Kluyveromyces lactis: one gene and its partners. The protein of the gene in region 3 purifies or fractionates together with the protein of the main gene of each other region. This does not show direct contact. Links are inferred from orthologs where the notes say so. Each region holds a gene or a part of one and is shown on either strand. Other genes may lie near its edges. The genes, in order: MRC1, SPT16, MCM4, CTF4, CSM3, TOF1 and POL2.

Evidence for each region.
Region 1: the proteins of MCM4 (region 3) and MRC1 purify together in Saccharomyces cerevisiae (affinity purification with western blotting; 7 studies listed by BioGRID, with this or other methods). This does not show direct contact. The link is inferred for Kluyveromyces lactis from reciprocal best matches to the Saccharomyces cerevisiae genes MCM4 and MRC1.
Region 2: the proteins of MCM4 (region 3) and SPT16 purify together in Saccharomyces cerevisiae (affinity purification with mass spectrometry; 4 studies listed by BioGRID, with this or other methods). This does not show direct contact. The link is inferred for Kluyveromyces lactis from reciprocal best matches to the Saccharomyces cerevisiae genes MCM4 and SPT16.
Region 4: the proteins of MCM4 (region 3) and CTF4 purify together in Saccharomyces cerevisiae (affinity purification with western blotting; 15 studies listed by BioGRID, with this or other methods). This does not show direct contact. The link is inferred for Kluyveromyces lactis from reciprocal best matches to the Saccharomyces cerevisiae genes MCM4 and CTF4.
Region 5: the proteins of MCM4 (region 3) and CSM3 purify together in Saccharomyces cerevisiae (affinity purification with western blotting; 8 studies listed by BioGRID, with this or other methods). This does not show direct contact. The link is inferred for Kluyveromyces lactis from reciprocal best matches to the Saccharomyces cerevisiae genes MCM4 and CSM3.
Region 6: the proteins of MCM4 (region 3) and TOF1 purify together in Saccharomyces cerevisiae (affinity purification with mass spectrometry, with the first as the bait; 3 studies listed by BioGRID). This does not show direct contact. The link is inferred for Kluyveromyces lactis from reciprocal best matches to the Saccharomyces cerevisiae genes MCM4 and TOF1.
Region 7: the proteins of MCM4 (region 3) and POL2 purify together in Saccharomyces cerevisiae (affinity purification with western blotting; 3 studies listed by BioGRID, with this or other methods). This does not show direct contact. The link is inferred for Kluyveromyces lactis from reciprocal best matches to the Saccharomyces cerevisiae genes MCM4 and POL2.

The regions. Positions count from the first base shown.
Region 1 is NC_006039.1:34,984-39,537, forward strand, and holds MRC1 (chromatin-modulating protein MRC1), read right to left. Parts: upstream 3,192-4,554; coding exon 414-3,191; downstream 1-413. Other genes in the region: VAC17 (Vac17p), read left to right, coding at 1-347; ribosome biosynthesis protein KRR1, read right to left, coding at 3,601-4,554. UniProt on the Saccharomyces cerevisiae protein: Required for normal DNA replication. Phosphorylated in response to DNA replication stress. Phosphorylation allows it to mediate the activation of RAD53.
Region 2 is NC_006042.1:906,558-911,130, reverse strand, and holds SPT16 (chromatin-remodeling protein SPT16), read right to left. Parts: upstream 3,154-4,573; coding exon 52-3,153; downstream 1-51. Other genes in the region: KLLA0_F09867g (uncharacterized protein), read left to right, coding at 3,381-4,490. UniProt on the Saccharomyces cerevisiae protein: Component of the FACT complex, a general chromatin factor that acts to reorganize nucleosomes. The FACT complex is involved in multiple processes that require DNA as a template such as mRNA elongation, DNA replication and DNA repair.
Region 3 is NC_006039.1:1,537,342-1,541,954, reverse strand, and holds MCM4 (MCM DNA helicase complex subunit MCM4), read left to right. Parts: upstream 1-1,569; coding exon 1,570-4,248; downstream 4,249-4,613. Other genes in the region: mannose-ethanolamine phosphotransferase GPI13, read right to left, coding at 1-988; KLLA0_C17490g (S10 family peptidase), read right to left, coding at 4,400-4,613. UniProt on the Saccharomyces cerevisiae protein: Acts as a component of the MCM2-7 complex (MCM complex) which is the putative replicative helicase essential for 'once per cell cycle' DNA replication initiation and elongation in eukaryotic cells.
Region 4 is NC_006038.1:972,564-977,235, forward strand, and holds CTF4 (chromatin-binding protein CTF4), read right to left. Parts: upstream 3,096-4,672; coding exon 267-3,095; downstream 1-266. Other genes in the region: Golgi transport complex subunit COG2, read left to right, coding at 3,689-4,402. UniProt on the Saccharomyces cerevisiae protein: Accessory factor for DNA replication. It plays a role in accurately duplicating the genome in vivo.
Region 5 is NC_006042.1:2,463,475-2,466,626, forward strand, and holds CSM3 (Csm3p), read right to left. Parts: upstream 1,804-3,152; coding exon 904-1,803; downstream 1-903. Other genes in the region: ribosome biogenesis protein ERB1, read left to right, coding at 1-777; KLLA0_F26686g (uncharacterized protein), read left to right, coding at 2,777-3,016. UniProt on the Saccharomyces cerevisiae protein: Forms a fork protection complex (FPC) with TOF1 which is required for chromosome segregation during meiosis and DNA damage repair. FPC coordinates leading and lagging strand synthesis and moves with the replication fork.
Region 6 is NC_006039.1:187,362-191,961, forward strand, and holds the start of TOF1 (Tof1p), read left to right. Parts: upstream 1-1,721; coding exon 1,722-4,600. UniProt on the Saccharomyces cerevisiae protein: Forms a fork protection complex (FPC) with CSM3 and which is required for chromosome segregation during meiosis and DNA damage repair. FPC coordinates leading and lagging strand synthesis and moves with the replication fork.
Region 7 is NC_006039.1:231,993-236,653, forward strand, and holds the end of POL2 (DNA polymerase epsilon catalytic subunit), read left to right. Parts: coding exon 1-3,839; downstream 3,840-4,661. Other genes in the region: ORC5 (origin recognition complex subunit 5), read left to right, coding at 4,050-4,661. UniProt on the Saccharomyces cerevisiae protein: Catalytic component of the DNA polymerase epsilon complex which participates in chromosomal DNA replication.

The DNA of each region.
Region 1 (4,554 bases), about 1.5 Mb from region 3:
AAGATATGTTGAGCCAGTTCGTAACAGCTCCACCATCTAAGAAGTATAGAGGATGGTTCAGTTCGTCCAACTCAACCCCATTTGCATCCTCTATTTTTCAAAAGTGGTTTAATTCGGACTCTCTAGTAACGAAAGAAATTGGAAATCCTGATAATTCGTCTCCATCGAGTGGACGACCCATTGTGGAAAATCGACAACGGCATTCAAGCTCTAACAGTTACTCTACATCGATAGTAATAGGACCGAATGGCGCAAAGTTCATCCGTGGGCTAAATGACCCATTAGTAACTTGTACTGTTTCATATAATGAACTTCAAGAGGCATTGAACACTGAATTTAACTTCTGATATAATGATTATACAAATGTAATTTTAAGAGATTTTATAATGAAATTGACATATTAGTTGGATGGGTCAGGTGAAACTATCGGAATTGGAGTCAAACAAGCTAGATGTTGGTTTGCGTACCAACGGTGTGGATTTTCGGCCTTGGGGTGCCTTCAATTTTCTCTTTTTACCCAAGAAAGTGATGGCAGATCGAGAACCAGAGGCTACTCTATAAGATTTAGATATAGTAACAGTTTTGATCCCCGTTTTGAACTTGTCATTAACATCTGAGTTTGACGAAAAAGACTTTACGATGCTGGGCAATTTGAAGTCCAGAGATGTACCATCCACATCATCAAAGAAGGCGGAGTTTCTATTCCTTTGAGGGGAATCGAGAGATTTAATATTGCTTCGCTGTTTCAAAGATTCCAAATCCTCAGTTGCATCATGTGCTGCTTCAGTGACCTCAAATTCATTGATATCATCATCTTTTGCACTTAAAAACGATAATGAACTCTGAACAAACTCTTCTGATATGACAATTTTCTTCTTTCCCATCTCATCTCGAGTATTGCTGAATGATGTGACAGCAGGGATTGACTTTCTAGTTATATCTTCCACCATACTATCGAAAAAGGCTTTTGATTTTGAGTTATTGACTACACCGTCCACATTTTCTAGTAGCTTTTGTTTCATTATTTCTCTTCTTTTTTCCCTAAACTGTCGTAGTAACTCATCCTCATCATCGCTTAACTCAAGATCTAGTGCTCCTCGGCCACGTTTACGAAAGCCTCCGGTATTGATATCATGTAAGATTTTATTTATCATCCTTTCGTCCATTTCTTTGTTCTCTAAGGCTAACCTTTCTCTTATTGAAGCGGTATCAAACTTGCTTTTGGAAAAATCATCTATCATGGTATCCAAATCTGAGTCATAGTCATCTGAATTCTCTCCGTCAGCACCACCAACACCATGCCATTCATCCTCAGATTCTTCTGCTTCCATTTCCAATATTTTGTTGAGACCAGTTGATTTAAGTACTTGCTTCCGCTTTTTTGCTGCCTCTATTTCCATTCTTCGGCGCATTTTAGCCCTTTCTTGAAGCCTATTCCTTTCTACTTCGTCGAGCTCGTCCTCTGAGGAATCAGAGTCTACTGAGGAATCGGAACTTAACTCTCCCACCAATAATTTCGCTGAATGTGATCTGTTCATCTTCAGTTCTGAATTTGAAGGCACATTTCTGTCACTTTGATCAGCACCATCATTTTCCGTTACATTTGAGGAAGTTAAATTATCGCCATAATGCCCTAAATTGATGCCAATCGGCTCCTGGGTGACTTCATTATCATCACTTGACGAAGAACTCTCGTCATCATCTATTATAGGATTGTTGTTTTTATGGGCTGCCGATGTATCCGCGCTATCTTCGTCTGAACCAGTGGACCCGTGTAGCCCTAAATGCTGCTCGACATCACTATCTGATAAGCTTAAATCACTCTCCATCACATCGCTATCAGGGACATCGGATGCGCTACCAGAAGATGCAGCTTTACTCGTATCTTTTGATTTCTCTCTTTCTCTTTTTTCTCTTAGTTTAACTCTCCTATTCCTTTCAAGCTCTTGCTCTAGAAGCTTTTCAACTTGAATCTTTTCATCTTCAATCGCTTCAAGTGATATTCCTTTTTTACCGGATATTTCTCTTCTAAATTCAAGTATCTGGTCTCTGTTCTTTGTTTTCAAAGATGTAAACAATTCCTTCAAAGAGTCAACTGTAGAAACATGCATGTTCTTTGCTTTAGTAGCCTTATTCCTGGATCTCTTAGCTTTAATCAGCAATAATGCTGCCTTGGACGATTGTGATTTATAGTCATCTTCAGATTCGGACGAAGAGTTCAGTTCAATAACATTTTGTGGACTATTTTTCATAGTAATGGCAATAATCCCATTCATATTAGTAACAACACTCTTCTGTTTCGTGACTAACTCTTGAGTAGATGCCATATCTTTCAATTCATCAGCATCATTTTCCTCATCTGAAAGATCTTCTGCGTTGGATGACTCCGAATCATCAAAAGCTGCAATGAACTGTTCAGGGAGGTATTTCTTTCGGACAGCCTTTAATGGTGCTACAGGTAAATGTGGTTCTTCTATAGTATCTTTTATAAGAGGCACGGCTTTCTCCTTTTCAGCAACATCAAGTTGAGTAGCGACCACTTTTTGCTCATTCTCTATTTGAGTTCCATTTGGTTTAGTTGCCAGTAGTCCTTCATTGTTGTTTGTTGTCAACTTAAATGTAAACGAAGTATTTCGAAAGGAAGTTTCTTTACTGTGCAGCAATTTACTTTCGGTTGCAGCTTTATCAAGAGTGTGTTCATCTGGTGTAGTCTGTGTAATTTCCTCATTGTTCAATTGTGTGTCTAAATCTTGCTGTTGTCTATCAATGGTTCTGTTGGTGCCCTCCAGTGCCTGAGTATTTACTTGAGTCTTTGCCAGCCAAGATGAAGAGAATGTAGGAATTAATTGTGTCTGAGATATTGGATGTTTTTTCTGTTGGATTTCCACTTCACGCTGCTTTGGTACTGCAGCAGTTTCACGCATTGCCTCAAACTCATCGTCCAACTCTTTACCTTCATACAAATCGGTATCACTGTAGAAGAATGTGCTTTTTTTACTGTTATCAATTGCCGAAGCAGTGCTATCATCTGAATCTCCATTTAGTCTCTTTTTGACTCTTTCAAGCAGATTCTCTGCTAGAAACTTGTGCTCTCCCACGTTCAGCTCTTCATCTTCTGCATCGTTCGCTTTAGAATATGTTTTGCCTTTCTTTTTATGAATGCCAACGTTCAAATCATCTAGTAGGTCCATTCTGCACTTGATAATGTGCCGAAGTGTTTGCAAGGTGTTGAATTCCTTTAATAAAACGGTTATAATAATGCCTTACCTGGTAACATTATCGTGCTTATAAGATTGGGCTGCGAGCCTTAAATATTTACGCGTTTTCTCATTTTTCTTTTCAAAAAACCTTCTTGATCGTACGTACTATATTTTTGTCACACCGCAGGTTTTGACATAAGGAAAAGCAAGAACGTTGCTGGCATGAATGATAGTTAGTGAAAAGCGTATACGTGGTCCATAAATATAATCGTAAAGTGTCTACTGGGACGATTTTTGAACAAAGCAACTGGTTGAAACTTAACTTAAAACTATATTTCTTAATTTGAGTCATGAGAAAAGGATGGAAACGCGATTATATAATAAAATACTTACTAGCGCTTTAATCGGTACGCTGTCTTTTCCTGTCTCCTAAAGAGCTCTTTGTAGATTTTGAAATTGAGCTTTTGTAGTCGGTTTCTTTTGGTGCAATAAAATCCTTGGCTCTCTCGCTTTCCTTTTCAGCGTGTTTAGCGGCTTGTTGTTCCCTGCGCTCATGTAACTTTTTGACTTCCTTCTCCCTCTTGCTCAAGAAATACTCACCGGACTCAATCTCCAAATCAACCTTTCTAGGTAATTGTGCAGGTGGGAATGGTGTGTATATTTTCTTCTCCTTGATCTTCTTTGGTTTCTTTCTTGCAACATTTCTCTTCTTGAACATAGGTAAAAATCTAGACCAGTCTTCCTCGGCTAACTCAGGCTTCTTAGCAAGTTCTCTCTTTATCATGAGTTCTTTGATATGGTAAATAGGATGTACGTTTTTCATACAATCTTCGACGACACGGCGTACTTCCTTTAATCCTTTATATGGTCCCATTACTGAGACAGTATTACCTTGGACAAGAATATAACATTTTGTTAGAAGCTCCAAGGCTTTCAAAGTGTTACCATTAGGACCCACTAGTCTCTGCCTTCTTTTCACGAACCTTTCTTTATTAGAAACAAAGTTACCAATCTTTATAACATCACAGGCAACATCGTCTTCTAGGATTTTCACTGCTTGTGGGAATGGCACAGATCTGGCCAAAAGTTTAATCAAATCACGAGCCTTCAAGATTACTGCTGGATCATACGTTTTTCTTGTAGTCTTTACAGTCATAGAACCTTCAACTAAATTCAATTCGCATGCAATATGATGTGCATCGAGAGACCTCGTAACGTCTTTCCAAACTGATTTCAAGTACGCTTCTCTGTACTTTGGAAATAGAGTCATAAAACTGGATTCTTCAGCAAAAGGAAGGCCAGACTTGTTGTCCTCGGGTTTAAACTCCTCGATATTCCATTTGTCAACCTCGTC
Region 2 (4,573 bases), on a different chromosome or scaffold from region 3:
TATAAAAATACAACCCAAAATAACGATAAACTATCCAGAGACAGAAAAATCTTACTCTTTGTAATTGCTATTACGATCTGCCTTAGCTGCTTTCTTTTCTAAGTCATCCCAGTCATCACCTTCGTCATCTTCTGATCCATCGGCGAAATCATCTGACCCTTCATCACTGAATTTTTCGTCATCCGAATAATCCTCTTCTTCTTCAGAGTACACTTCCTCATCAGATGGATCCTCATCAGATGCCTCGTATTCTGAAATTTCTTCCTCGCTCTCATCAGATCTTTCATCATCGGATCCAGTTGCCAAGAACGACCACCCACCATCCAAAAAGAATTGATGAGGATCATCTTGTAGCGACTTCATGATTGTCGACCAGTTCAAGTTAATTGTAGAAACAGTATATGGAATATCAACATCTGTTAACCATGTCTTAATGAATTCAAGTTGCTCAATTGGTACAGTGTTTATATGAGAAACAGGCTTTGTCAAATCTTTATAAACAAAGACCATGTCAAAGTTCTTCAATCCAAATTGAACTCTTTCAAGTATACAAATCTCAACTTCGTTCAAATTTATGACTAAAAATGGCGGTTCAACTAATTGAATTAAGCAGTCTCTCGTTGGCATACAGAACACGGCTGATCTAGAAGGAACACCTTGGAAACCAAGATCTCTAAATGGAGAATCTACATCTAGGAGACCATCGGATGCCTCTGCTATAGCTTCAGCAAAATATCTAAATTCTTTATCAAGGGCAGCACGTTTTCTTCTTTCTTCTTGTTCTTGTTCTAATTCATCTTCATCACCATATCTTCTAAATTTCATGTTGTTGCGTCTGCTGTTTCCTGTCTCATCGACAGCCATATCAGATGCTTCTCTGTAAAATTGAATATCTTGGATCTTCTTTTTACCCATTAAAATAGGATTCTTTAGATGAACATGAATGATCACAATAAGTTCTCCCTTTGATGATTGGAAGAATAGATTCTTGATGTTTGAGAATAGGATATCAATTCTTGAATCTGTCCTCAATGGAGACTGGTATCTGATACCATTTTCATGAATGAACACCGTACCTGGCACACGCTTGGTATCGGGACTAGGCCTGACAAAGATTTGGTCCAAACGTTTAGTCCTACCAGTTTTGTTCTCCACCAATTTAGCCTGGACAACAACATCAGCCAAAGCTTTTCTTTCCTGTTCACGTTTGGTAGATTCCTTCTTAAGATCAGTAATTTGTTTGAAAACATCGCTCATGCGAGCACCATCCTTAGATCTTAAAGTTAGAGAACGAACAAATTGATTCTCTGGGTTCTCTTCATACGGCAACTCCTCAGTTTTCTTACCGACACCTCCAGCACCAGGAGAATGGAAATTCAATCTGAGATAAGTGTATTCACCTTCTTCATTTTTAGAACCGTTTTTGTATGAATTGATATGAAAAGGTACAGGTCTACCATAGATTGGTAGAATGATTGTCTGACTCTTCCAGTCGACATGAATCTTCAAATCACGTACATTGGATGGTATTTGAGTTTCCCTAACGTAAGATTCGTACTTTTTGAAGAAATGCTTTGGCTTCTCATCGCCATCTACTGCATCTGCATCACTGTATCTGAGTAAACCTTCCTTCTGTAATCTTTCATGAAGTTTTCTTTGGTTCTCTTTGCGGATTTGTTCTTTCTCTTCATCGTCAGCACGACTTTCTCCACGTAGCTTAGATCTCAAAATCTTCGATGTACCATCAGGTTTTGGTAAAGCAGGAGGCTTGCTTTTTTCAGATTTAACAGTTGCAGCTTTGTTCTCTTCTTCGTTGTTGAAGTAAAACGAGATTTGGGATCTAGCCTTTGTGTACTTGGTCAAAGTGGATGGCTTTCCATCAGAAGAAAGTTGAACGGTATCTGCTAATTGAACAGCATATACCTGACCAGTTTTACTATCCTTTAAATTCCCAAATCCGAGTGAAATATTGTAACAGCAATTCTCTGAAATTTTATGAGCGGTTGGTTTAGCATTGATCATACCAGCAGAGTCTCTAAATTCCAACCCCATCAAAGAACCAACATTTTTAGTAAAGTGAGATAATAATTCCGGTTTCTTTTCTTTGATGAATTCCAGTGTCTTTTCATAAATAGATGTTGGATCAGCTTCTACTTTTAATAAATCATCGATGATCTTCTCTTGCAAAATCAATAAAAAGTCATAATTGTCAGTCATTTCATCTGTCGGGTCAATCAAAAAAGTTCTGGTGATATTGGAACAGTAATTCTTGTATCTGATACCGCATGAGGCTAGGATGGAACCCTTTCCGAAAAGTGAGTCGTTGTTAGAACGAGCAGAAACCTTAAGGTCGAACTTAGAACCTGATTGCACAATTGGAGAATAGGCCCAATCAAGGAAATTAACGTCGAATTTCTCGTCGGTAGGACACAAAGGATTTAGATCACTTGAAAGTTTCTTCAAAAACTTGGAATCATCTATCTTGTTTTCAATTTTATCTGACAACTTAGAATTTGATATTTTTAGTTCTTCGTCAACAGCATTGACGATTTCATTTGACATAAGATCCATGAATTTGTCAGATCCCTTACTGGATACAGAAAGGTAAGCCTTTTCCTTATCATCTTTGCCCTTCCAAGTAGAAGACAAACCAGCAGAGCAATCGATTACGTTTAAAGAATGCGTCTTTTTAGCTTCTTCCCAAAGCGGTTTCCATTCAAGAATGAGCTTACCTTGATATGAATCCTTCGTTGGGACACCGACAGTATTACCGTTTTCTGATAACAGCTTGATGAGGTCCTCAAACAATTTCTTATTGTGATTTGCATCCTTGTTATTTCTTTGCCAGATCTCAAGTTTGTAATCTGATCCTTCAAACTTAGTAACAGCGGGCAAAAGATGTTTCGCCTTAGCACTGCTGGTTATGATGACACCTTTATCCTTGAAAAAGGCAATCAATGTAGCTGGAAACTCATACCCTAGCAACCAATTATGCAAAATGGTGGTCTTTTGATAAGGGTTTTCCTCATTAGTCGAACCAAGTACAAAGAGAAGACTATTTGGAGAACCTTCAAATCCAGAATATGCCTTCCCTAATTTTGTAAACCTATCATAAAAGGCTTGGAAATCAATTTCAATTCCTCCGTCACTCATTGTTACTTGAGATTAGCACAATGGGGTCCTCAATATCTAACCAAAAAAGACAACTGCCACGCCTAATAGAACAATGAGTTTGAAATACCGAGCCACGAAATGCTTTGCAGGTTATTTCAATAAAAGTACCAAAGAGTCCCTTTGCTTTAATTTCCTGCCAGCTCTTAAACAATGGGTATAGTTTGCAAAAATTATTAATGTTACTCTTCAATTTAAAACTATAATATATGCATTATTGGCGTCGCGTTTTTTTTTTACTAAATTTTGAAAAATTCAGGTTAAAGGGAGAATATATCACTGTAAACGGATTTGATTCTCTTCACGTGACTGGAGATCAATTCCATACTAAGATGCTTCCAATGTATTTTGAACCGAGGATGACTATAATAGAAGTTAACAGTGGAAAGTGCACGTTTACTTTTCATTATTGGGTGTATATCAACATCAAAGCCTATAATCACATCGGGGTGGTTCACTGGTTTATTTGTACCAAAATAATGAGTGGGAACAACTTAAGTTCTGCTAACCATCTGGATAGCGAGAAACTAACAGAATTATTGAGGAAGAAGTATCCTTTTTTGGTGATGTATGATGGGAAGAACGATGTAATAGATCTTGGAAAGTTTTATTTAGGATTTGCACATTTTATGTCGCGAGAAATTACTTTTGCGGAGCAAATCAGCAGCGAATTTATATTCGCCTTCATGCGAATAGACTCAGAAAGAAGACGTCTTGAGCATGATGACGAATTGTTTTCCAAGGCATCCGATGATCTTTTGGCTACAAGAAGAAATATAAACAGATGGGCTAAAGAGTTAGAAGTGCAAATACTTCCTATTGTACTCTCTGCATACCAAATTCTTGCAGGTGATTTAACTGAGGGAGTAGAGAAGATAAAGGAAGCACTTAGGGATGAAACTTTGGATGGATTAGCCATAAGACTCAATATCCTTTCAGCGTATGCTATCGATATTATTAACGAAGTGATAACTATTTATCCGGAAATGTACAACCTGTCGGTATCTAATAAGAGAAGTCTTGGGGATTACTCTCTACACCTCACATTAGCAAGTCTTCTTTTGCAGTCTCTTCATCTATTTGCCGACCTTTGTGAACGCCATCCGAATTTATACCAACGATCGTTGCAACCTTTCACTTATGAACAATTCCAGATAGAATTGCAGGAAAAGTCGGAAGCAGTTACCAAGATCAACGAGGAATACGAGGAACTTATTAAAAGCATTACGACCATAACATTTAACAATGTAATAAATTACATGAAAGACAAGAAGACAAAACTACGAGACACTTCTAAAGAATACCTTTCTAAAGAATAGATATGAAGTAAGAAATTTCGACGGAATTTGTTATATGCATTGCATCTCATCACGAATAAATAAATTATAGCATAGAATCATTC
Region 3 (4,613 bases):
TCCAGTTGGCATTCTTCGCGTATAGCCAAAGGACACTTTCCAACTCGTCTTGCGAATCACCACCGTGGTTTCCTGTGTGGTCCATACCGTGATCACCCATAACAACGTATAACGTGTTATCATCTGCAGTGCTTATAATTTTCCGCAATAGCTCATCAACTTGAAGCTGTTTTTCCTTCATGGTAAAATGATTAGGACCGTACTTATGTCCGACATGATCAACTCCTAACATATGTCCGATCAAGATATCGTATTCAGACCGTTTCTCTTCATTGAAATAATACTCCTCTAAGTAAGAAATAACCCCATTATCGACTGTGTCTAAATCCCAAACGTTCAAGGATTCATATGGTACACTTTCTGGAGCCAAATACGGATTAAATAGGGCATCCCAAGTGTCATCACCGGCAAAGAATATTTTCTTGTTATGCAGATAAAGCTGTTTTATTAAGTTATCCTCATCGATCACATCACCATTGAAATTCGATCCTGCATCTATAAATGTAGGCAAGGAACCTGTTGTCAATCCCTTTAATCTTTGTAGCGTAGTTGTGGGAGGATCAGCCAAAAACTTCAACAAGACAGAATCCGTTGAGTTATGGGCCGTCTCATAAAGAACTTTCAAATTGTTATGATAATTAGGGTTGTACTTGGCATGATTTTCATCTACTGGAATAACGAAATCAAACCTCAATGCGTCCACTATTAGTAAAACCATCTTATCGTATTTAGCTTCGAAGGGAAGCTGGGGATCAAGTTCTGCAACGTTATCCAACACCGTCCTTGTTAAAAGGAACCCTTTTGCGAAAAATGCTATGGAAATAAACTGCAATACAGCCAAAGAAGCAAGTAATAGTATGTACAGAGTGTGCGTAGACTTGAACCTTGATATCCGATAGCTCATTCGACTGGACCTCGTTTGAGGCCCCATTATGCTGAGTCTAATTCTCTCTGCCCGATCTCGTTCATCACTAACAGTGGGATTCATCACTTCTTACCAGTTTCCAAACGGGACAAAAACACAACTAAACGAAAGTACAATAAATTCACGTTGAATAATGATATTGTGCAGAAGAATTGAGTCACACTGGCGAAAGTGGTTCGCTTATCTCTCGCCTCTGACAGAGTTCTTGTTACCACTTTATTTCATTTTAAAGGTTAATTTCTTTTAAAACAGAACAATTGTACATCACGTGATCATTGTTCCCTCTTCAAATAATGCAACTCCAATTCTGATCGGCGAAGATACTGACCATTGAGCTGAGTGGATCCATGGTATTATCAACGGTGGCAAGGGCTCATTAGAACCTTGTTTATTTCAATTTGTTCTGTTTTCTTCTTTAGGAAATGTAACTATGTAACCAAAAATGTGTAAAATCTTAACGAGTTTCACTTAGTTCACTCAAAGCATCTCAAACAAGATAACATTATCAATTGAAAGGTGATATATCAGGGAACCTAGGATTATTTAGCTGCTTAGTAGGTTTGATAAAATTGCTGAATTAGCATTTGGATAATAGTGGCAGTATATATCCATAGAACACAGGAAGACAAACGGTTAACAATATTATGTCCTCACCTCCAGCTCAACAACCAAGTTCACCAAATTTGTTTTATGATCCTAGCTCTTCTCCAGCTCCTCATGGTACACAGGATTCCCAGGCATCTCAAGACCGAGGCGTAGGCTCTTCTCCGTTTCACTATCCTTCGTCTTCGTCAAATGCCACGCAAGAGACGGCTCGCGCCGCTCCTAGTAGCAGTGGTTTAAGATCTAACAATTTGAGATCTGATCTATTGAACTATTCATCCTCTCTATCCTCAAGTGCAAGAGAGGGAAGACACTCTAGATCTAGAAGAGGCGAAATTAATGCATCTGACTTATCATCTCCCAGAAGAATTGTCACTTTCAATAACCTTTCCTCATCGGATAATGGATTTTCATCATCATCGAGACCTGCATCTGAAGCTGCTGATCAACCTTTGAAGATCATCTGGGGTACCAATGTTTCGATCCAAGAGTGTGGTAACAGTTTCAGAGAATTTTTGATGTCTTTCAAGTTGAAATATAGAAAGGAGCTAGATGATCAGGAGATTTTCATCAACGAAACAACAGACCAAGAGCTGTATTATGTGAATCAATTGAATCAAATGAGACAACTCGGTACTTCAAACTTGAACCTTGATATCAGAAATTTACTGGCTTATAAACATACTGAAAAGTTGTTTCATCAGATTCTCTATTACCCTCAAGAAATTATAGCTATTATGGATCAAACTGTTAAAGATTGTATGGTATCCTTAGCACTTGATAATGGGTTAGAGAGTTACTTGAATGAAATTGAATCGAAGTTGTTCAAAGTGAGACCATATAATGTGGAAACCAAAAAGGGTATGAGAGAGCTTAATCCTAATGATATTGATAAATTGGTGAGTATCAAAGGTTTAGTTCTAAGATCCACACCTATTATCCCAGATATGAGTGTTGCATTTTTCAAATGTAACGTATGCAATCATACTGTAGAAGTTGAGATCGATCGTGGTATTATTCAAGAACCAGTGAGATGTCCCAGAGTGGTCTGTAATAGCCCAAACTCCATGGTTTTAGTTCACAATAGGTGCACTTTCCAAGACAGACAAGTGATAAAGTTACAAGAAACGCCTGATCTAGTCCCTGATGGACAAACTCCACACTCTGTTTCCCTATGTGTATATGATGAGCTGGTTGATTCGTGTCGTGCTGGTGATAGAATTGAGGTTTCAGGTATCTTTAGATCTATTCCAATCAGGTCGAATCCAAAGCAAAGAGCCCTCAAATCTCTATACAAGACATACATCGATGTGGTTCATATCCAAAAGGTGGCTAAAGATAGAGTCGGTGTGGACACTTCTACTGTTGAACAACAACTCTTGCAGAACCAGATTGATAATGTGGAAGAGATTAGAACTTTGAGTAGCGAAGACATTAGGAGGATCAAAGAAACTGCTCGCCGATCGGATGTCTATGATGTTTTGTCACGTTCCATCGCACCAAGTATTTACGAGTTAGATGACGTCAAGAAGGGAATCTTATTACAACTCTTTGGTGGTGCTAATAAAACTTTCAAGAAAGGTGGAAGATATAGAGGTGACATTAATATTCTACTATGTGGTGATCCTTCGACCTCTAAATCTCAAATTTTACAATATGTTCATAAGATTGCTCCTCGTGGTGTTTACACTTCGGGTAAGGGTTCCTCTGCTGTTGGTTTAACTGCTTATGTTACAAGAGATGTGGATACTAAGCAACTGGTGTTGGAAAGTGGTGCTTTAGTTCTCTCTGACGGTGGTGTGTGTTGTATTGATGAATTTGATAAGATGAACGATAATACTAGATCAGTATTACATGAAGTTATGGAACAACAAACAATCTCTATTGCAAAAGCAGGTATTATTACAACTTTAAATGCTAGAACTTCAATTCTGGCTAGTGCCAATCCTATCAACTCTAGGTACAATCCTAATCTTCCTGTGACTGAAAATATTGATTTGCCGCCTCCATTATTATCAAGATTTGATCTCGTTTATCTAGTGCTTGACAAGGTCAACGAAGCGTCTGATCGTGAACTCGCTAAGCATTTAACCAGTTTATACCTGGAAGACAGACCGGATTCTGTATCTCAAGGTGATATTCTACCAGTTGAATTCTTGACAGCCTACATCAACTATGCAAAACAAAACATTCACCCGGTAATAACTGAGTCAGCCAAGACTGAACTTGTGAGGGCATATGTCGGTATGAGAAAGATGGGTGATGACAGTAGATCAGATGAAAAAAGAATTACCGCAACAACAAGACAGTTAGAAAGTATGATTAGACTTTCAGAAGCTCATGCTAAGATGAGGTTAAGTGAAAGAGTTGAACTTGAAGATGTGGAAGAAGCAGTGAGACTGATAAAGTCTGCCATCAAAGATTACGCTACGGATCCTAAAACTGGTAAAATTGATATGAACCTTGTACAAACTGGTAAATCGGTTGTGCAAAGAAAATTGCTTGAAGACTTGGCGAGAGAAATTTTAAAGATATTGACAGAAAGGACAACAGACACAATAAGTTTCAACGAACTAAGCAAGCTTATAAACGAACAATCGCAAGATAAAGTGGAGAGTATCGAATTATCAAACGCTTTGACAAGATTGCAACAAGAAGACAAGGTAGTAATCTTAGGAGAAGGTCTAAGAAGATCAATTCGTTTGAATGGCCGTGTATGAATAGATATTATCAAGTCTAGTTTTTCTGAGAAAGCCTCTACATAGTTTGCAAAGGGCTAAATGAGAATAACGACCTTCCGCATGTTCTGCTTATATACATACGTTCTGTGTATATATCATCGTGAAAGTGTTTGACATTATAATAGCATATTTAGTTAGAGTAGCCTAAAGAAAGGTCCCCCGAGATCCATCTGTTGATCATTTCCATAGTAGCTAGTGGTTGATAATATGGAACCGTATGACCTGCTTCGAATACTCTGAGGAAAGTAAAGGGTCCGTGGTTTTTGACCTCACCAAACTGGACGGATCCGTTCAAACTATACCATGGGTTTAAGGGTAACGTTTCATAGCTTATATGGTCCTTC
Region 4 (4,672 bases), on a different chromosome or scaffold from region 3:
GTATCGCCAATTTGTAAAAGAAACGACACCACTTGAAAAGTGACAAAAATTGAAGAATGCATGAACTTGCAACAGAATTAAATAATAGTTTGGAAGACTTTACTCGATTCAACGACCTATATGCCTGATTTCATTGGTATTGCTAGAATTACTTAGTTTAATTTACATTACGGCAGAAAATGAACGTCAATGCACGGATCGGAAAATCAATTATTATTTAAACTGACAATACTTATTCTAGTCCAGATAAGAAGAACAGGGGATTATCATATATTATTGAAATCGGCCTCAAATTTGGCCTCAATAATCGTGTTGATTTTTCTTACTAGTGGAAGTAGTTCAGCTCTTTCTGCAATTTTTCTTGCAGCAGATAGGGCCTTATCTTGCTTCAGTTCGTTGACGATTGAAACGGCCTTGTTAACATCTTGCTCGGAACAGACATAAGCTAAAAGTCGTAGTAAGGACTTATCATGTGTTGCTACCAGATGCTGTAATAGATCTGTTTCATTTCCGTATATCTCACCTTCATTATCCATCGTGTCTTTTAGTAAATCACTTAGTATCTTGGAGCGTAGAAATTCCTCTTCTGCTGCTAGGTACATTGGAATTTCGACACCATTACTGTTATCAATATCTTCCACATCGCTGCTGTCGTTACGATTATCGTCTTGTGTCTTTTGAAGCTCGGATTTTGATACAACTGGGATTCTGACTTCCATTTCTGTAGGAACGGTCATTGGGATATCTGGCCATGCGTTCTTCCCCTTCAATAATAAATACGAAAATGTATCGAAGTTTAATCCTAATGGCCAAACGTGGACGTTCTTCGGATGCTTACCCCCTGACATCTTCCAAAGTTCTAAATTGGTATCAACTATGGGTACCCATCTCGCGTCACTACCACTTCTCCATTTGGACAGAATTAACAAAACATTATCATGACCAAACATACACGGATCACCAAAGCTTGAGAAGAATAAGGATTTGATACCTAGGGGGTTGAATGAATTGAAAATATCATCGTATTTTAAAAATTCAATGTCTTCATCATCATTTCCCGGCTGATTCTGTTGAGGCAACGTTATTGGTAAGGGAGATTCTCTTTGGAAGTATTTATTGCCAGTTTGCGGATGTTGTTGGAACATCGAGTAAGTAATACCATGATATTGTGAGTAATGAATGGTGAACACTTTGTACTCATGAGCAGACAAAGCAACAATAGGTGACATTTTTTCTATTGCCAGTGGTAACCCAAAATCGTTATAAGTACGAAGATATCCGAGAGATGTTCCTACAATTACACGTTTAGGAGTACAGGCAATTGAAGTAACTCTTTCTTTGGAAAGTAAGGGAATCTTTTTAGTCCATGAATCTCCAGAGGGACTATGTGGCTTGTATTGAATTTGACCCATCTTCGACTGGCCCAATAGTATACCTTCATCGGTCAGTGAACAAAGGTCATATTTGAATAAATCGTCGAAATGATACTCACGGAATCGACTAACATCGAAAAAAGAGACCGTTATAGAATTGCTACCGCCTTCATTTCTTGTTGTCCATACATGACCTAGTTGGTTTATAGTAAGGTATCTTTTATCGCTATTCCCGAAAGGTGTCGCGCCTGTTGAAAATGGTCGGTATTGGAATTGAGCTGGTGGTTGGTAAATTCTGCGATGATTTACATGATTAGCTGTCAAAGAAGGAATTGATTGAACATGAGTTTTTGGTCTCTTATATTGTGCGGCCTCGCCATTATCATCCTCAATAAAATCATCTTCATTCTCGAAATTGTATGTACGCTTAGGTTCATGTTGATCCATTTCTGCATCTGTGAAAAGGTTGTCAGAGTTTATATCTTCACTAACCTCACCTTTGTCATCAGCTTTGTCGTTGTTTTCATATTTCGATCTTCTGTTATTATCATTCTTGGAAGGCTCGTAGAACTCAGGACCGTTGCTTGTTTGTTTAGATAAATCATCTATGTCACTATCGTCAAATAACTTTTCATCATCAGAGCCAACAAAAAGCTTACCACCGGTATTTGAATAAGCAACTGTAGTATTTACTGAAACAATGTCATTGAACGTGATAACATCGCCCGACCAAGTACCTGCTACCAAGCTAAGTTTGGTTCTCTGATCGTTTACTCTCCAAGACAAAGAAGTGATACTATACCTAAAGCTTTCGTGAACAAGCTGTGTACCAGTACTTAAATTCCAAATAAATAGATGAGAATTTTGGTTGGAATTACCGACTGCAGCGATTGTGTTTGAATGAATTTGGTCTATTGTAAGTGCGTCCCAGTTGTTAACGTGCACACTTGGCTTGAACGAGGTCACCAAATCATGATCTGATAATTTAAATAACTTAATGACACTATCTTTTGCTGGAATTGCATATTGGTCTCCTTTATTGGTCCATGCAACTCTAGTGCATGTTCTGTTATCTTCGCATAGCATAGGATCAAGTCCATCTATAGCGACTGAATCGGCGTTTTCAGTATTATTCTCAGTGTCCGCTGGTAGATCATCATTGAAGAATATCTTAGGTAGCTGATCATGCAATGTGTGGATTCTATTGGGTGTAGTAGAACTTAAAGAGTAGAATACAACGTTACCGTTACTGAGTGATACTGCTAGAATGTTATTTTGTTTGTTGTATGATAAACTAACCAGTTGTTCGTCCAAAGTTAATTTAACGTTTGAATTTCCCTCTTCTAATGCAACCAATGTCATTTCTAAATCATCCCCACCTACAACACATACTTTATCATCATGAACTAAGGCCAAATCACGCAATGGTAACGAGGATCTAAAGCATAACTTGTTCTTGTTTTCCAGTACATTGTACCAGTATAGGTCGCCATTGCGGGAAACAACATATAAACCATCAGCTGAATTTTGACTCAAAACAAATGCGCTTGGTTCTTCACAAATATCAATGATATCAGGTTCCTTCTCAAGATCAGTTAAATTAAGAACTTTCACCAATGCGTTCTTATTTAAAGTGAAAAGTCGAGAACTGTCACTACTCAACCGTGCCTGGGTGTTCCCACCAGCAACAAATACCCTATTTTCAGTTAGTTTAATTGCCATTGGATGTTTCTGGGTATGTCTGAAGGAAACTATTCACTAATATACTGAGAACTGAGCTTTTTTCAGTGCATCTTATAGATTTCAAGCAAGTTGTGTCTCATCTTCTACTTGTTAAATCACCAAGACGCGTTTTTTCTGTTAAAAATACACGTTAGCTAAGAAGACAGAAATGAAACACAGAACTAGCACCATCAAGTATTAGTTGACACTGTTATAGTAGTGACAGTGCAGTGCATGCAATTGCCACAAGGTAAGGATGAGGTATTGGACCAAAAGTATCTAAACATTCTTGATTATAGATTTACTTATCTTAAGGAAAATTAGTCACGTGATGCGCAGTAATCATATCACCCTTATTCATCTGTATTGCACCATCAGTTTAGTAAGTGTGTTCCGAAAACTACCCATTCAAACACATGTATCGGTCTTTGCCCTTGTTATATACATGTATTTTTCTAACTATCAATTCTATTCAGCGTTCAAGATATTTAAAGGTACGAATCGATCCTTATATTCGAACGATCATTACCAGAAAAACGGAACAAGAGCGAAAAGAGAGGGAAAGTACTGTGTGAAACTACTCTCACCCAGCGATGACCGACCTAAATGATGATTTGGATCTACCAGTAACTAAAGAACTAAGCAGAGAGTTAGTTTCCAATTTTGTACGGAAGAATGGCTGCTTAGATATAGATAAGCTATTACTTGAGAATAACTTCCAATACGTATCGTTAGACGAACTCTCATATGAAGTATCTGCCTTGAAGCAATCAATGGAACAAACTATACTGGATGAAATCAATGACAATTATCCCGAGTACATGGAAATATGTGACAGGTTTAATACTAGTGACAATAACGAGGTGTTGAATAAGTTAAAACAAGTCTTGAATGATCTACAACAGTTCAACAAGCAATTACTCCAACTTTGTGATTCCTCAGTGGCTGAAACTAGAGAAAAAACAGTAACAGCATTATCCTACCTAAAATCGCTTGATAACCTATTTGGTAAACTGGACGATATCACAAAGCTATCAGAATCGCTAAAGATATGCCAGCAACTTGTATCATCCTTACAGTCTATGGTGCAGCTGAATATCGACGACGAGCTTTCCTTCACAGTGGCAAAGCAGCTCTCTACTATACTAATACGTTGTGACTACAGATTTAGACATTTGGAAGACAATGATTCCACCCTAATTACTCGAATGAGAAACGACTTTAAAAGTATTCTCGAGACCGCAAAGCCTTTAATTAAACCCGTTCTCGAGAAGCAGAACCAGCAAACTCAAACCATAAAAACTTAAATATATGATAAATGCGAACCCAATTCAAATAAAGTGAGATTCCACCCCCTAGGTGGAAGCGAGTCTACGCTATGAGTATCCTTACGTAAATGTGTATAACATCTCTGACTTTGAGCCTCATCTCATCATAATGAACGATCTTGAATTTTTCAGTTCTTCACAACAAAAGCATCAACAAACATCACAACTAACATTAAATCTATAAGAACGAACTGACAATATAGCAGGGCCAGCGTACTAACAGAACACTGTGAATATCGATAAGGTTCA
Region 5 (3,152 bases), on a different chromosome or scaffold from region 3:
AGTAATCTCAATGTGAATAGCGATGATGAGGATGACGGTGCTGAATCACATGCTGTCAAGAAACAGGTTGCTCAATGGAATAAACCAACCGAAAGGCAAGCTGCCAATGATATTTGTATCGTAATAACTTGTCGTAAATCAGTGAAAAAGCTTTCATGGCATAGAAAAGGTGATTACTTTGTCACTGTTCAACCAGACTCAGGTAATACATCAGTTTTGATTCATCAATTATCCAAGCATTTAACTCAATCGCCATTCAAAAAATCTAAGGGTATCATTATGGATGCAAAATTCCATCCATTCAAGCCACAGCTCTTGGTCTGTTCTCAAAGATACGTCAGAATTTATGACCTATCGCAACAAGTGCTAATCAAGAAACTTCTACCTGGTGCTCGTTGGTTATCTACTATTGATATTCACCCAAGAGGTGATAACTTAATTGCATCCTCGTTTGACAAGAGAGTGTTGTGGCATGATCTTGACCTTGCAAGCACTCCATATAAGACCTTGAGATACCATGAGAAGGCTGTAAGAAGCGTAAGTTTCCACAAGAAACTACCACTGTTTTGCTCAGCTGCGGATGATGGTAACATCCATGTTTTCCATGCCACGGTCTATGACGATTTAATGAAGAACCCTATGATCGTCCCGTTGAAGAAACTAACCGGCCACAAGATTGTGAATAGTTTAGGTGTTCTAGATACTATATGGCATCCACGTGAAGCTTGGCTATTCTCTGCAGGTGCCGACAAAACCGCTCGTTTGTGGACTACCTGATAGAACCCTCATGACGGGATATTTGTAAAACACTGTATACTATGGACATCATTACCTATCAATATTACAAGTAGATACTTTCTAATTAGTGTTCAAGGGAATACATTATTATCTTTGGATCAGAGCTCAAAAGGTATCCATGTCTCTCATCATTGCCATTTCCTCATCTGATGCGATATCATTACCGTTATTTGTTGTGCTGGCAACGGTCGTAATTTTACTCAATTCGTCTAACTCTTCAGCGTTAGGCAGAGCGTAGCCATTTTGTGTATGTTGCCGTATGTTTGTATCAGTGGTGGACAACATTTCATTCGTGTGCCGCTGGTGATGCGAAGAATATAGAACATCATCATCATCATCATCATCATCATCATCGTCATAGTTGCCGTCATTATTCTGATTTTTGTCTTTGTCTAGGCTGATAATTTTGGTGGCTTCATAACCATACTGTGCATTTCCGCGGTCAGTCGCTGAGGTAGATTCATCCGTTACAAATAAGCTATTTCGTCCCTGATGAGCAGGTAGTACGCCTGTGTCGTGCATTTGCATATCAGGTACGTTGGGAATGTCATCTCCGAGGAGGATACCCATGTCTTTCCTAACTAAATTCATTCTATACTCTCTTAGCTCTTTGTCAGTTTTCCCCAATGATTCACATAATGAGGTGAAATCTTTGAACTTTGCCTTCGGATACAAATTATGAGCCCATAGCTGATAGAATTGTAAGAAGTTTGTTAAGTTATCGTAAGCTGTCTTGTGCTTGCTGATTCTACAACTTTTCGGAGCATGTTCCATGACATACGGCAGACCCTTAGTGGACAATAACTTCTCGGCAGTAAGCTTTACCCTTGGTTTCCGGGTGTTGGTAGATATGAGCGTGGGATCTTGACCATCAGTTGTACTTGTCATAGAAGGATCCAGGCCATTCACAGTAGGATCCAATTCAAAATCAAGCCTCATGTTCCCATCTTCAGTCGCGTTGCCTTGAAATGCCGAGAGATCGTTCATATCATCATCTATAGACATCGTTTACGGTACTGTCTCAAAAAAGCAAAGAGCACACACACTTGTAGATATAAAAAATACTATTCCGTGCCAAATATGAGGACTTCGACAACTGAGAGCGAGAGACACTATTTATGTTATCTTAAATCGATAATGCTCTTCGACTTCAGTTAAGTTTGGCGTAGTATATTTCACGGAAAGGAAAAGAAATAAAGTCACGTGAACAATATTTACATTTTCTTTTGGTTCGTCTGGTGACATTATCAGCGTCAAGAATCTCAACGCAGACATTTATTGCGACAGACACAGTGACGCGTCGAAAAGTCAAGAGAAGGCATTCAGGGGGAATGCCAAGAGACAACAAAACGGGCAAGCAAAAAGAAGCACCGTGAAATTTTAAGTCAAGGCTGTCCTTCTGATAAGCAAGATAGCAAGCCAAACACTATGTTTTGGCTGCGTTGATAAGAAGACAAATGCTGTCAATCACGTGATAATCCCTCTTTTTTAAGTTTTCTTGGGGGCATTCATTAGGCGCATGTCACATGCTCTGTTGAGGAATGAGTGGAAAGCCACACTTTTTATTGCGGTACTTTCACTTAGGCTGATGAAAAGATCGGTGTTTGAAGTTCCTGCTGAGAGGTTATTGTGAAAGTGTCAAATGATAACGCACATTAACGGGCTGCCTTTTGATTCCTTTGCCCACAGAAGTGGTCCATTTTGTTTCAGAGATTTAACCACAATTTGTTAGTGTGTTATTGTTATCTTGTTGTAGTATATTTTATGGAGGTTATATATATATAAGGAATAACCTTTCAGTTGTTGACAAGGCCTATGTAATAGATTCGAGGTTGTCTGTATCTTGTATTGATAAGTTAAAAAGTGTAAGAAAGACGTCTCATAATAAGGAGTAACACAGGATACCGACCTCCGAATAGGCTTAACAAGCGCCTACTACAATATACCCATTAGCGTCCCCGTTTGACAATATTCAACAATGTTCACAGACAATTTTGGAAAAGCCAAAGATACGCAGCAGGTTTCCCAGGTGATAGTACAATGCTTCAAAAGTTTAAATTCAGTTCCCAGATCGACTCCAGACCTAGAGCAAGACTATTGTGATTCTGATGAAGAGGAAGATTTGATCGTGGATTTAACGACAGGGTCGTTAAAGCCCAGGAATTTGAAGAATTATCTACTTATGAATGAGGTAATGAATGGCCTAGAGAGCCTATGACGCTATGGTATTAAAGCCAATAAGGGGGTTTCACATCTACTTTATTGTGTCTACCGAAGATTTGCATACCAGAGAGATGCATCTTTTAATGCCTTTACTGCCTGGCTTTATCTCTCATTTTATTTTCATTTCTTTC
Region 6 (4,600 bases), about 1.3 Mb from region 3:
CTAACTACCTGTGATTGTCCCGTTCAAGTGTAGGTCGCCTCTCCCTTCAGGAAAACCCCACAATCACATTATCAAAAAAACTTCAATGTTGCTAAGCATCTGATCCTATTGTCCCCTCGTAGTCGAGCGGAAAACTTCGGTTATGAATGGAATGTGTTCCACACACTTCGATCCTGTTTATCCATAGATGCTTTCACACCTTCTATGATAAAGCTCAATCGATGCTGTGGTTGACTTGTAGGAAACCCGTTGTCAATCGATACCGCAAACTTTAAAAATTTTTCAGTTTACCATATTTGGTAATACATAGTAATGTTTTACCACACATAGTATAACCATATCGCAGTCATCATAGTGGTCTGAAGGAACAAAGCAAACACCAATCACACAATTCTTCCTCAGATAGCATTATAATCCTGAAATTTTCCTTGTAACAAAACCATCTAGCATTGGTCCTGTTTTGAACGTTCCATTTTTTTTCTTTCTTCACATTCTTAATCGACTGTTCTTTGTCATACTCTTGTCTACTTGCTGCCGTAAATCATTTTAAATAACTTGTGCGCAGTGCAACATAAATCTTACGTTTATCAAAGGCAGCAAAGGCATGGCATAGGTTCTATTCTACTTCCGTAGTTAATAATTGAGAGCATATTTCAAATATATTTTTTGCCTCAGAAATTGGAACAATGTATCTCCCCGCAATGATCCTATACCACGACACAAGATCACATACCCGGTATGTATAATCCCCCAGCACTCAGTAGACATATTCACCTCCCTCATTCATGTTCTCTACATTTGAAAGTTAAAACCTCAAAATCAAATTTCAGATCGATGAGTTAAAAAAATGGAAAAACCACAGATTAATGCTTATTGATCTTCATTGACAAATGAGACATCGCAAACCGGACCAACCATCTTTAACACACTATTGCAGTGTTTTTGTCTTTTTTGAGGAATTTCAAAAGCTTTTCCACTTATGTCTGCTCTTCATTAACGGAGAATGTCGTCACATAAGCCGAGTGCAATCAGAACCCTTATTTTTTGCTTTTTGTACGCTTTATTTACGACCGTTCCTAATACGGTCATGAAGATCGAAAAAAAAATATGCAAGATTATTTCTAGATTGACACAAAGGAGAACAAAGTAGCCATAGGAGCAGGTATAATACAATTTGATCAAATATTTTAATATATGGCTTGTGTTTGGTATCAATCTACTTGAAATTATATGGTGACTGCTACTATTCCTTTAGTTTGGTATGAAAGCTCAGCTTGAAAGCAAGAACAGTGAGTTACTTTCCCGCATGATATTTGGACTTTCGTCTCTGTTTCGTCGTTGGGAGAACAGTAATCTAACTAAAATGTTACGGAACTAATATTTAAAATTGAAACTTATCAATTGCTGATAGTGAGGCAATAAAACAGTGCTTGTACCGTGTATTGATAGGGGGGGCGAAGAATTACAATTTTCAAAATCACGTGATCTGGTTTTGTCTTACTTTTCATAGGAATCAATTCCAATCGAATGAGATTTTGATCATAAAACAGCTTTCAACAGTTTTACGCGTTTGAACAAAAGGATGAATATTCGAAGGGCTACCTTAATCAAGAGGGCAAATTCTTTCCAATTTGACCAATTTGACAACGAACATAACTAGTATTAGTTGAGAAAACTATTAGAAAACTTCTTTGGGTTCGTAGCTTTGACAGAAGGTAACTATGTCAGAACCCGATGACGTTGATACTGTGAAGGAGAGACTGGCAGAAGATAGGCAAAACATACATATTCAGAATGAATACCAGGATATTTCATACACAATCATTAAGGCAAGAATTGGTATGTTAGCCACGGCAATTGGAGGACCAGATCACTCTGTGGACTCCGTTAATCCACCTTATAAGGTAGGTGATGATTGCTTGGCTTGTATTAAGGATTTGATTCGTTGGTTCAAGTTAGTTGATGATAACCAGAAGAGATGGGATGTAGAAATGGCCACAGCTGAATTCAAGATCCTGCAGAATGATCTAATACCTATTCTATTGGATTGGGAGGCAAAAAATAGTGCTGCTACTAGGAAAAGTAAAAAAACAGGTGAAGATATCTCGATTTTCTTCCCGAATAAATCATATCATGATAGAATCGCTCTAGGAGCGTTGCAACTTATGGTGTTGATGACATGGCCCTTAATCATAACAGATCAGTCATCGTATAACCAAGTGAATTATTACTTTGAGCTGAAAAAGCATCAATTGCTGTATAAGCATGCAATTTTGACAACAGAAAACGGAAAGGTTCTCAAGGCAGCAATTAGATTAGCCCTGAACGTCATGAGTGTGGATGTAGATCATAGGACTGCTAGGGATGACTCTCTGATACGAATGGTTCTTAATTTTCTAAAAAATGTGGTGGCAATAGAACCAGGTGAAGTTACAATATCCAGTGTCAAAAGATTGAAGAGACCTTTGACTATGGCTGAAATGTTACCAACGAATATTACCGTTGATGATATTTCCATAAATAGTGTCATAACCGCATTTGATAAAAATAAAGTTTTTGGCTTTCTTCTAACAGTGGCTAGTTCTTTGTCAGACGCTGTTGACCCAAATTTCGTTAGTTGGCCGTTGTTAGAGGTCATGTTCTTCTTAACAAAAGATATTAACCCCATCCGATTGTTCAAAAACCAGAGAAAATCTTATAAATTGGGTACGGATCACGAGATTACAGACTCCAACATGACAACGTCAGGTAAACACCTTTCAGAATTACTTGCAAAGGAACATGAAAAGAAGCTTAATGTAATAAAGAATACTTCTTCTCGTCATTCTAGATTTGGCGGTTTATTGTCTATACAGACACCTCAAAATACGCGATTGACAATTGCTAGTAATTCTGTCAACATGCGTGATGATGCGGCATTACAAGAGTTAGACTCAAGAAAAAAATGGAATAAAACCATCACTATGAGACTCGATGTTATTGAAGGACTCAGTAGCAGCTTTTTTAGTACTGAAGGTAATTCTATTTACATGTCTTCTGACAACATTACTAGCATAAAAGAGTTTTTGGCAGATTTTGTTGATTCCAGTTTCAATTTGTTATTGCAAAATGCCACAGATAGTTTTACGAGTGAAATTCAAGATCAATTACCATTGCATAAGATTGAATACATGTTATTCATTTCGTGGTTTGTGAAATTCCAGAGATCACGGTGCATTTATGAAATTGATGCTACACCGGATTATGTCTCAGGCGCATTGTTAGATGAGTGTTACATTCTCTTTACAAAATATTTGAGAGAGAGTTATGAACAAAAGAATTGGCCAGTGGTCCATGCGGGTATGCTATTGTTCACGGAATACTTGGAGTTTTTATTATCTCTCGACCAATCATGGGAGGCAGATGTTCAAGCTGTGATAAGTAAGATTTTGAGCGAAAATATGTTGCAGCTATTGGCATCTCTCCCAAAATCTGCAACCAGTCATTCTTCACAATATGTTAAAGCTTGCATTAATTTAACACATGTGGTTTTGAAAACAATTGATAAATTTGATGAGAACAGCTCGTTGACTGTGGAGTCAAAAAGGAAGCGTAAGGTGAACCTTAATCACACAGCAATTGAAAAGTATGCAAAAGATAATGATTTAGACTATGAATCAGCCTTTGATATATTAGAAGAACAATTTAAACAAGTGACCATAAACTTTGATAAGGTTTTTCGCGGATATCTGACAGAACCAACGATATCAACTTACATCAGATATCTACAGTCTTACAAAGAACTGGAGGACAAAGACCTCATAAGGGTTCTAAAATTCTTTCAGAGAGTGTTTGTCAAAGCGAAGGAAGAATTATTTCTATTTCGAATTGACTTCATGATATTATGTCGAGAAATTCTAAGTCAACAAGGTCTGCCTACAACTTCTGAGCTAAGAACTCATTTCACAAAATTCAATGAGTACTACCTTAAGCAGCTCAAAAATAAACTGAAGAAAATGCCTTCTTTGTACATCAATATATTGTTCCCAATGCTCCATGACTCCCAAATATCATACTATATGAGACATGGAAAGATGAAGTTGACTGAAGGTACTCCTGACATAGTATTGCCCAGCACATTTATCAATATTCCAGATGAAGGCTCTCTTCCTAAAAAAGTTTTGTTAGATATGCAAGTTGGAATCTTGGTTTCTAGTCTTATCGATGATGGATATGAAGATTTGATTGAAGCTTTGTTGCTTAATTTACAGTCAAGTTTCGATGGATTGAAGGGTAAGGTAGCAGAAGGCATCAATTCACTAGAAGAGGAAAGAGTAAAAAAAGTTGCATTCAATGCTACTAATTCTGAGATAAAGAGGGCCTTATACCAACAGCCCGAATTCAGAAGGCTTTTAATCCTTGCTGGTTTTGCAATTCCGGAAGCTAATCAACCTGCTTGCTATTTCATTAATAATAAAACTCCTACTGAGGTCCAGTTGGTAATTGAAACTATACAAAAGCACAGGTCTCTTCCATTTGAATCTGAAATTGGAAAACCAGCTAGTTATTATTTATCGTCACATTATCAAGAGTATGAAGACCCTGAAGAATACGGATCAGA
Region 7 (4,661 bases), about 1.3 Mb from region 3:
TGAAGTTCAAATACCAAACAAAAAGTGATAATTCCATTTTCTTTGAAGTCGATGGACCATATAAAGCAATGATACTGCCAACTTCCAAAGAAGAAGGTAAAGGTATCAAGAAGAGATATGCTGTGTTCAACGAAGATGGTTCATTGGCTGAACTAAAAGGTTTCGAACTAAAAAGAAGAGGTGAACTACAATTAATCAAAAATTTCCAGAGTGATATTTTCAAGTTATTCCTGGAAGGAACAACCTTAGAGTCATGTTACGCTGCAGTAGCAACAGTTGCTAATAGATGGCTTGATGTATTAGATTCTAAGGGTGCAATGCTCGAAACTGAAGATCTTATTGAACTGATTTGTGAGAATAAAAGTATGTCAAAAACATTAAAGGAGTATCAGGGACAAAAGTCAACTTCCATTACCACCGCAAGAAGGCTCGGTGAATTTTTGGGGGAAGCAATGGTTAAAGACGCAGGCTTACAGTGTAAGTTTATTATCAGTTCCAAACCACATAATGCACCGGTGACAGAAAGGGCTATTCCTGTTGCTATATTTTCTTCCGATCTTCATGTTAAGCGCACATTTTTAAGGAGATGGTTATTGGACTCAAGTCTCAATGACTTTGATCCAAGGGCTATTATCGATTGGGACTATTATAGAGAAAGATTGGCTTCTGTTGTTCAAAAAATTATCACAATACCGGCAGCATTACAAAACATTAAAAACCCTGTACCCCGTGTTGAACATCCTGATTGGTTAAGAAAGAAAATTGCTGTTAGTGAAGATAAATTCAAACAGACTTCCTTGAATCGTTTCTTCAAATCTACCAAAGCTCCACCTGAAGTCAAAGATATAGAAGACTCTTTTGATGAACATTCCGCGAATAAATCACGTATCGCTAAGGTCACGTACAAGAGAAAGAGCAAAAGACGTAATGGGGATACAGCACTAGAAGAAGAGTCTTTGCTGCTACCCTCTGAAATGCCTCCGATGTTAGATGATTATGTGGGCTGGTTACAATATCAAAAAACCAAATGGAAGATCCAGCATATTGATCGAAAGAAAAGAGAAAAGCTATTTGGTAAAACTTCACGAGCATCTGATCGGTCTGCTTTGGGCAATTTGATAAGAAAGCACGTTGAATCATATGCAGATAAAAGCTGGGAAATTTTACAATGTAAACCGTCCATCGATTTAGGTGTCGTAGAAATTTATGCTTTAATCGATAGGAAAATCCAATTGCTGAAAGTAAACATTCCCAAAACTGTACTCATGAACTTCAAGACGGAGAATTTCCCCTCGGGAGGGATTGAAAACTGTATCGTCGAAAAGTCCAACGCGGAACTGCCTAACGTGAAAGGCATCAACAATGAAAGCAGTAGTCAATTGTTTAAACTGACAATGTCAGAAGATACCTATTTCAACGAAGTTAATAAAGCATCAAGCGTATTGAACAACGAGAATGTTTTGGGAATATACGAGAGCTCAATTTCTTCGAATGAAAGAGTCATAATGCGGCTAGGGACGTGTATTCAATTCAGCTCTGAAAAAATGGGTGCGCTAGGAAAAGGTTTACAGAACGGTTTTCATATGAAGAATTTACATCCTGTTGAAGCAGATAGATATCTCCAAAGGTTTGACCTTGATATTGCCTACCTTCTACATTTTGTAACAGATATCGGCTATGAATTCTATTTCTTGTATAAAGCATGGGAAGATGTGGTAGAAATATTTGTGCTGAAACCAAGCACTCATGCTCAAGAAGTTTCTAATAAAGCTATAGAATCTCTTTACAACGAGATATACGAGAAAAAGTTCGAAAAGCTCGATAAATACTATGACTTAATCAAGATAAACAAGAACGTTTCGTTTAACGTGAATGATTATACTGAACTAAAGCGTTTACTGAAGGACCTTTCAAAGATGCTGCAAAATATTAAGGAAGAAAAAGGATCTCACACAATGGTGATTCTACAATCTCCATATACCCATAGAGTTGCTAAATTGTTGCAGCCTTTGAATGCCTTCCCTGTTGTTGAAATAGCTACTGCTGAAACACATTTGCCAGCTTTGAACTGGCAGGGACAATTAATGAGGAAAGCGGTCAATCACATATTGTCTCTTGGTTCTTGGATCTCAAATTTGATTACTCTCTCAAAATACAGCAACATTCCAATATGTAACCTCAAAGTCGATAATCTCGGATACATTATCGATTTGATGTACGCTCGCCAGTTGAAAAAGAACAACATCGTTCTATGGTGGAATGATAAATCGCCGTTGCCTGACCACGGTGGCGTTGAAAGAGATTTTGACCCACGGAAAGCGGAGCTCATGACTGATTTGGTGTTCCCTATTATGAATAACCCTGATATCTATGATGACGTTATCTTCGAAATTAGTGTCTATAACTCTGTTGTGAACACTGTTTTGAGCAGCACCATGTTGAACGAGGCTGAAGGTACAGACCTTGCCCAAAATTCGACATCTAAGGAAGAATCCTTCGGTTTTGTTGAAGATTCTTTCTCTTCTTCGGCCTTGTCAGTGCTTCGCGCACTGTTGAAAGAGCTTTGGGATGATGCCTTAGGTGATAATATCACGGCTGACTCATTAGTACACGCATTTATAGGATGGGTGTATAACCCTGACGCGAAATTATTCGATTATGCTTTGAGATATCACATCCATACTCTCACTCAAAAGGCCGTGTTACAGTTGATCAATGAATTTAAGCTGGCAGGATCATCTCTCATCTTCGCAGACAGAAACAAACTGTTAATCAAAACTCAGAAGCGTTCCGTTGAGAATTCTTACGCCTATGGGCAGTATCTCATGAAAGCGATCAGATCTAAACCAATGTTTGCCTATCTAGACTTGAAAATTGATAGATATTGGGATGTCCTGATTTGGATGGATAAGTATAATTATGGTGGTAGAGCATGTCTACAGATTGAAGATAAAGAAGTTCAGAGTTTCCAGGCTTATTCTCATTGGCATATAAAGGATTTCTTACCTGCAATTTATCAGCAAGAGTTTGATGATTGGTTAGTAGTCATACTGGATAGTATGGTTAAGACAAAGGAAGCCTATCATGAGCGAAATGCATCCACACAAAGATTAACCCAATTACCAAAGAATACACTGGCTGATAGTGACGTAGATAGTCAAACTGACTCTCTAGGCGGTTTTACCCATAATTTTTCAAAAGCTCTCATCAAAAGAGCAGAGAAACTTTACAAGAACCAACAGGAATATATTCTTGATCCTAACTTCGGCAAGGATTATCTATCTCCCACAATTCCTGGGTCGCATCTAGTTGTGAAAAATCCGCTTCTTGAGTTGGTCAAATACTTATCACATATTTTATCACTTTCCAGTAATCATTTATTAGAAGGAAGGGCGCTAAGGAAAGAACTCCTAAAGACATTTGAAATACGCGAATTCGACAGATTAGCTGAATTCAAGGATCCAAGTACATCTTTTGTGATCCCTAGCTTCATATGTGAGCATTGTTCTTATATATCAGATATTGATATTTGCAGAGAAAGTATGGAACGAGTCTTCATATGCCAGAGCTGCAACAGATCCTTGAATAAAAATCTCATTGAAGAGCATGTGATCGAACGACTTCAAGCCCAAGTTGCATCGTTTATTACCCAAGATGTTAAGTGCAATAAATGTCATAAGATCAAAGAGGATGCAATGTCACCTTATTGTCCATGTTCAGGAAAATGGGAACTTGCCGTATCTAAGGAATCTTTCATGGCACAGTTACAAATTTTCAAGAACTTGGCGGAAAGCTTTGACTTTAGAACATTGAAAGAAACTTTGAATGATTTCTTATAGGTTCAAGTCCCTGGCATCTGTTGTATTATCTTTTAGTCTGCTGATGTGTTTACATTTAACATTTATGAGTGTTTATGTGTTAAAATAGATCTGAAAATAAAAAATATATATACACATAAAGGAAATTGTTCTGAACTTAGCATGGTTGAATTCTTCCCACCTGAATGAAGACGCACTATGTGTTATTTACTGCGAATCAAGTGACCCAGAATGGTACGACCTGATGTTAGATATAGAGAAGAACAACTAGATTTTTTGGAAGCGTTTGTCGATGCCGATCCAAAACTGAGCCCGCCAATCTTGTTCATAGAAGGGCCGCATGGAAGTGGTAAGACACATACCCTCAAGAAGTTTTTTGCTTGCAATGAAGAAATCATGAACATTTTACTACCAGCGAAAGATCTGATATATAGCAAATCCACCTGTCAGCGGTTGGCTACATGTCTGCGTCAATTGCTACTGAAACAATTTCCTAGTGTGGAAACCACTGATCTTGATCCATTTGAAGCCGAGGACGTATATCTTTTGCAGAAATTTATCAATAAATTGTTTATCCGATTTAATCACTTGGTAGAACGCGTTAACCTTTATGTTATACTCGATGGGCTGGATGATAATTCACAGGTGAACTTGGAAACACCTACGCAACTCATGGCATTACCTGGATCTATTCTTCCACAAGCGATGATTCAACTTCGGTTAATAATCTCGTTCTCCAAATCCTCATTCTTGTCCAATTACTCAACGTTCAAGGTTCCCACGATCTTCTTCCCCAAATATAAACCACTGGAGATTGAATATATTGTATCACAAACACCAGGT